Linked DNA regions of Xenopus tropicalis. The protein of the gene in region 1 purifies or fractionates together with the protein of each later gene. This does not show direct contact. Links are inferred from orthologs where the notes say so. Each region holds a gene or a part of one and is shown in the gene's direction. Other genes may lie near its edges.

Region 1 (3,500 bases):
CTGATAAGGAATCACCATGATATAAATATGGCTGCACTAACCCTCATTCTTTCTGTGTTTCTATACAACAGTACTTGTAGGCTGTGCCACATACTTTTTATGTGATAACAAAATATCCACAGAGAACATACCTTCCTTGGCTAGTAACCAAACCTACCAACAGGAACAGAAAACTGTATCATATCATAGTTTGGAGATGCTCCCTCAAAGAGGTCTAACAAGGGCTGTGTAGCAGTCAGGGACTATTTGGAAGTGGATATTAGTTTTTTTGGGGGAAACCAATTGAAACTCCTGTTGCACACTGTTAGAGCTGCGCACATCCCTTTACATATCTAACAGGTCAGTAGTAATCTGGGCACTTTGTAACAAAAAAGAGCAGACACAGCTCTGAAGGGAAACTTACTATTTCCTTATTATCTTTGTACTGGGTACTTACTTTGTAACAAAATCATTATAAATTATGAATAGTAAGCTCCTATCATTAAAAGCTTACTATGAATAATTTCTAATGATTTTGTTACAAAGTACCCAGTACAACGATAATGAAATACGTTTTCCTTCAGAGCTGTGTCTGCTCTTGCACTGTTTGAAACAAAAGCAGGAGGACACCCTAAACTGTGTTAGGCTATTTTGTTCCATGTACTTTCATTTGGGTTAAATGGTTCCAATGTGCAACTATGCCAAGCTATACTCAGTGGTGGGACAGTTGCTAATCAAGAATTACAGGAGATTCACTTTTCTGAAGGTGGAGCAGTAAGTTACAAATCTCCATATAGACTGTCTACCACAGTTCCTTGCAGGGGTCAACCCTGAAAATAAGTGACTTTTGGATGTTGTGATATTTGCTGTATATGGCATAACTAGCCAGCCGGGCACATGGATACAATGGTTAAGAAGAGAAGGTATTTCTAGTGACAAATACAAAGAAAATGGCTTCATGTAACTGCATACAATAATTTGTGGCCTAAAGAATCAATATCCAACACTAGTATAAGCCATAGAGTGTTAAAGTTGTTTATCTGTCCTTACAGCCCTGATAACTTAGTTTCAAGATAATATTTCATGGTTCTGACTTTCTTGTCCTTGAAATCTGTAATAAAATTATTAGAGACAACTGCACCCCTCTAAGCAGGAGCACTAATGTGCCAGGTCTAATGTTATATTGCAATTCTAAGTACATTGTGAGCATATGCATTATCCACGCTGTTGTCCTTAGGTCCCACCAGTGATGTGCTCCAGAAGGTAGATATTCAGCTTGTCGCCCAGGATATCTGTACCGAACTTTACCGCTACCAGATCTCACCAAGAATGCTTTGTGCTGGTTATCGTGATGGCAGTAAAGATGCATGCCAGGTATCTACACTAAAAGTATTTATTCTTTTACTTTCAGCACTGCCACAAGCCCACAGTATATTCTACTTCAAACACAGACAGATATTACAAATACATACTTTATTTACTTAAAAATAAATATTATAAACAATAATATCCTCATGATTAACTCTTAGATCCAGCCTATATATAGTTCATCCTGAAATGCAGCTTAATAAGTGCTCTTTTTGGCAAATGGGTTTATACCAGCGGCCAATCACTGACTTTGTACCTGTGACGGGCAAGTTCAACCCTTGTTATATTTTCCTTCACTCACCAGATATCATTCTATGCAAGACCTTTCTGCTTCAGTAATGATATTTGGCTTACCCTTTACATTCAAAGACGCCTTATGTGTAAGGGTGTTACCACTGGTGCCTATGACTAAGGGTGGTAACACACGAAACACATAAGGCTCTGGTCTTGTTGATTCCTCAAATAAAGCAGAATAAAGATGATTGATTTTAATAGAACATGTTACTGCTGACCCTCATTCCATAAATTGCTGTATGAGAGTTTGGGAACACTGAAGGATTGTGTAGCCCCTGCTCAGGAAGATATTGTGGAAAACTATGAGCACTATGAGAACTATGAGTTTTCTCCTCTCCACTTTAATAAGCCTCAGTTTGGCTGGTAGGATTCAGAATAATCAGTTATCTAATATTATCTAATAGTGAGCGTATAAAGAATTTTACATTGATTGTTTTTGTGTATTTCCTAGGGTGACTCCGGGAGCCCTTTGGTTTGTAAAACTGCCAGTGGGCGTTGGTTCCAAGCAGGTTTGGTGAGCTGGGGGGCTGGCTGTGGCATACCCAGATACTTTGGGGTGTATAGCCGCATAACAAGACTTGTACAATGGATCGAATCTATCACATTGTAAAATGAGTCATTTCTACATAATGAAATTAGAAAACAGTCAACAAAGTAGTGGAACTTCTAAGGATTAAAGAAAAAACAGAAGAATGTTTCAAAGCACCATTTGTGGAATCACATACAAGTTCATCAGTTAAATGTATTTGTTTTGTGAAGACTGACCACATGCCCACATTTGAATTAGAAGCTACTTTTTAATTTGTTTATTTTCAAGCTTCCTAGATAAACACGTTCTACATTTGTAACCTTCACTTCTAAGGAAACTAAATATAACATATAAGGCTTCATTGAGAAACTGAATATAATATATATTCATCTTCATCTGGCCATACACTGGCAGATCTCATGTTTGTTGAGGTCTCCAAATCAATGGATTTTTGTTTGCTTTGGCCAACCAAGAGGTGAGCCAAATAAGCCTTATCTAATCATTTGGCTCAGAGGTAACAATAGCATATGGTGGGTTCGTACAGACCTATCAAGGTATCATGGATCTTTGTCTGCTTGGCCAACCAAGGGGTGAGCCAAATAACCTTCATCTAATCATTTATCATAGAGTTAACAAAGATATCATATGGGGAGTTCGTAGAGAACTATCAGGAGATGACTGCATCCATGGCTTGGTGTAGTCATCCTCTAAAGAGATCTTTTAGTCTTTTCAATCTAAATAAGCTCTACACAGAGGACATCACAGAAAACATAATCATAGCCAATATCAGTCTTTGAATGGCAGCTACATGTCACCTATATTTAGTAGATACTACATGTAGCTGGCTAGAAACAGCTTTTATTGTTTCCTATCATGGTACCTGCTTGTACATTTAGCTACAAGGAGCAAATACTAATCTTCCTGTGTAATAGAGGCCTAGAAGCCAAAAAAATATCTAAAGCAAAAAAAAGAGCTTTGTTATTATTATTAATACTTCACATAAAGAATACAATAATGTATGGAGCTGTGCAGATCATAGATTTGGAGACATTGCAAATATCTCAGTCATATTAGTGCCCTGTTTGCAGGACTTGAACAGCCATCCGCCACAGGAACCACATGGCCATCTAAAACAGAATTATTCCCACCAATCAGCCATTTGGTCTGCTGAACCAAATCAAATATAAAGCCACCTACCGTAATAGACTTTATGTATATTAGACTGTAGACATATTGGTATCATTAGATACTAAAGAACTATCATTTCTTTAAGGGAGGTGATGTCATATGAAAAATTCAGTTGCTTGCACAGCAGGGTTTCCACTTTAAG
Region 2 (3,500 bases), on another chromosome or scaffold:
GTAGCCTATTTAAGATAAGATAAGGGGAAATACCCACAGAGGGTTAAGTTACCCTTTACAACAGTTTCATTAAATAATCCAACAGCCATTAGTATCACAGAGTGGTGTGTGGGCTCCAGTGTAGCCAGCAGGAAATCTCATGCCACAGAGCTAGTAAAACCCACAGAACCTGACACAGCTTGCATTTGGCCCACTTTGGGAAAACCCAGACCAGAACTCTTCCCTTACAGGAAATGTGACTTACAGATTGAATAGCACAGAACCTGAGCCCCGCAGCATTTCATCTGCTGGGAAACCGATACCGGGATTTTAATAAGCAGCTAAACCGGCACACAGAGCTTGCATTTCACTCGGTAACCGAAGCACGGAGCAGGGCGGCTACAGGGAAACTGATACAACCTTTAATATACATGGAAACTGGCCCATGGGACGTGCAGTGCTGTGTAATTCAACCGCAGAGCATTTAATCTACAGGGGAAAGCAACGCGCAGCAATAGCACGGCACAGTGTAACAAAGCCGCCGTGATTTTACTCTCTTAGTGGTGGGGGGGAATGTAATAAAAGTCACAAACTTTTGCATTGGGTCTAGTATCCTATAGCAACCAATTAATAGGTAGCATTAACTGACTGCTTGTTTAAAAAGCAAGAATATTATTGGTTGCTATGGGTTACTAGACCTGCTGTGATTTTTATAAATCCCAAAGGGGCGGGTATATAAAGAATGACGGCTTGTTAGGTTGTACCAGGTTTGGGTAATGGTCAGGATTTTGTCAACCCACACATTAGTACCTCCTACATTTTGGGGGGTGGGGGTCCAAGCCCACACTTAAGATCTCTATATCCCTACAGGAACTTGCTCTAAAGTTCCTGACATGGAAGCAACATATACATTTATTATGGTCCATCTGTAAACTTTCCCAAAAACTTGAAATTAAAGTGATAATGACACCTTCCATCTTTTCTCTGGATCAAACTCAGTATCACTTTAAAAACCTACTTAGCGCTATTTCTACTTTCTTAAACTACCCTCTTAGCCCTGCTTCACCCTCTGACTTACCTGTGTCCGACTCCATGATGCCTTCTTCCACTGCTGCTGAAGCTGTGATGTCACACTTGGGGGGCAGGGCTAAGACCTAATATGGCTGAAGCACCAATATAAACAATATCTCCCACCCATGCACAGATAAGTAGCAGGCAAATTGGGGTGGGGGTGGAGCAAGGGTTTTATGAATAGCACTATGTAGGCTTATTCCATGATACTGATATGTTCCTGTAAAAAGCTGGAATGTGTCAGCAGTATCACTTTGCTGTCCGGTTGCTAAGGTCAGTGATCCTGGAATCCAGAAGAAATATTTATTGGGAAGATATACCTTTCTGTTTATTCATTCTGGCACTGAAACAAATGCCTAGTTACAAGGGTCAGTCAACGTAGCCCAAAAAAATGTTATCTAACGATAGCACAAAGATAAAATACAGATTAATTGATACAATATAGGGTCAGGGAGGGCTTTGCCTTGGCCCCATACAGCCAATGTAGGCCATGTTTATTGCAGTCACTCTGTATTTTATATGTGGACCCATTTATTTTGTATGAATTGTTAGCATTTCTATTCTGCCTTTTTCCGGCCTGCGATTAAAAATGCTGGCTGTGGGGTCAGTGACCCCAGCAACCAACACACTGACAGGGAGGCTGCAATATTATTTCTTTCTATTGATGATTTCTCCAGTTAGTTTAGGTGGGCTCCCCCCTGTAGCAGTGCTGCCGCTGGATAATAAAATCTGGGGGTGATAATTTGCAGTAGGGTTTTTGGAAAGCGCGGTGACCTCACTCGGCGCTGCCGTCTCAGCTTACTCCCTTCCCAGTGCCAGCTTCCACACTTTCTCAGGACTGTGGGAATTTTCATAAGCGGCACTTAGCAGGCCTGCCAGCTGCGGGATTAGAACTGCTGGCACAGGCGCGGGATGACTCACTGAGTGCTGGACAACTGCCCACTCGTTTAAATACCACTTGAGATTTAAGAAGCGACGGCTCAGGCCGGCCAAGCTGGGATGTGTCATATCCATAATTTAGCCAGCTCCTAAATCTGCAATTACATCTAGTCCTTTTGCCCAAAATATTTCATCTGTGCCGAAAGCACCAAGCTCATTTTACGGCGATGAACCCTTAATTTCATCTTCCCTTGAGCAAGTGAGGCTTTCCTGGGAATCGCACTTTTTTGGGTTAAAAACAAAGGATTTCTAGTACAGTTATGGCACCTGTTATCCAGAATGCTCGGGACTCAGGGCTTTCTGGATAAGGGACCTTTCTGTAATTTGGATCTCCATACCTTAAGTTTACTAAAAAATGATTTAAACATGAAATAAACCCAATAGGGCTGTTCTGCCCCAATAAGGGGTAATTATATCTTAGTTGGGATCAAGTACAGGTACTGTTTTATTATTACAGAGAAAAGGGAATCATTTAACCATGAAATAAACCCAATAGGGCTGTTCTGCCCCCAATAAGGGGTAATTATATCTTAGTTGGGATCAAGTACAGGTACTGTTTTATTATTACAGAGAAAAGGGAATCATTTAACCATTAAATAAACCCAATAGGGCTGTTCTGCCCCCAATAAGGGGTAATTATATCTTAGTTGGGATCAAGTACAAGATACTGTTTTATTATTACAGAGAAAATGGAAATCATTTTTAAAAATTAGAATTATTTGCTTGTCTATACAGAAGAACATGCTGTATCTCCTGTTTTATATCAAGCTGATTCCTTACAGATTACCTGTTTATTTTACAGGCAGAGGATGAGTCGATGAGGAGGTGAAAGCAGAGGGCGATTGTGATAGATTGGAATGGGTAAACGCCATCTTCCAACATGTTTAGACAGTGTCCTTTTCAAGACGGTCCTTCTGCTTATCTTCTGCGAGCAAGGTAACGAGGGCTAATTACACCAACACGCATTAACCAGGAGGTGCATGTCATTTAGCATTTCCCCAATAAAGCTGACTAGGTCTTATCATTTCTCTATCTATAGTTTAAGTTGACCATGCACATTAGGTTCCACTGGTTTGCCATAGTGCTCCAATATGGACCTTGTCCAGAGGTATTTTCCACCTAGTTTAATAGATATGTGGGCCCATTCTAGCCATATATCAACTGGGTGTTTCTATGTTTGGCCCCATACATGGGACAACAAGATGCCAATTGACTAGTTGACAATGCACATTAGGATCCACTGGTTTTCCAAGGTCCCTAAATAGGTAGATCTGTACCTACATTTCTGCTGCAAGCCTAATAATGCTCTTTAATTTTCCTGCAGTGAATGCCCAGTGTAAGATCATCAAATGCAATTCAGAATATGTGTCTGCTACATTAAACTTGAGGGGTTCCGGCAGAAATGCAGAGATTCAGAAGTGCAATGCCCTGCGCTCCTATTCCCAATGTACCCGCAAAACTGCCCGCACCTGCCGCGGAGACCTGATCTACCACTCTGCAGTGCACATCAT

What was found.
Region 2: the proteins of tmprss6 (region 1) and hjv purify together in Homo sapiens (co-immunoprecipitation; 3 studies listed by IntAct). This does not show direct contact. The link is inferred for Xenopus tropicalis from reciprocal best matches to the Homo sapiens genes TMPRSS6 and HJV.

What each region holds. Positions count from the first base shown.
Region 1 is NC_030680.2:123,220,650-123,224,149, forward strand, and holds part of tmprss6 (transmembrane protease serine 6), read left to right. Parts: intron 1-1,216; coding exon 1,217-1,353; intron 1,354-2,092; coding exon 2,093-2,251; 3' UTR 2,252-3,500. UniProt on the Homo sapiens protein: Membrane-bound serine protease. Through the cleavage of cell surface hemojuvelin (HJV), a regulator of the expression of the iron absorption-regulating hormone hepicidin/HAMP, plays a role in iron homeostasis.
Region 2 is NC_030684.2:128,550,467-128,553,966, reverse strand, and holds part of hjv (hemojuvelin), read left to right. Parts: intron 1-2,791; 5' UTR 2,792-2,846; coding exon 2,847-2,925; intron 2,926-3,313; coding exon 3,314-3,500. UniProt on the Homo sapiens protein: Acts as a bone morphogenetic protein (BMP) coreceptor. Through enhancement of BMP signaling regulates hepcidin (HAMP) expression and regulates iron homeostasis.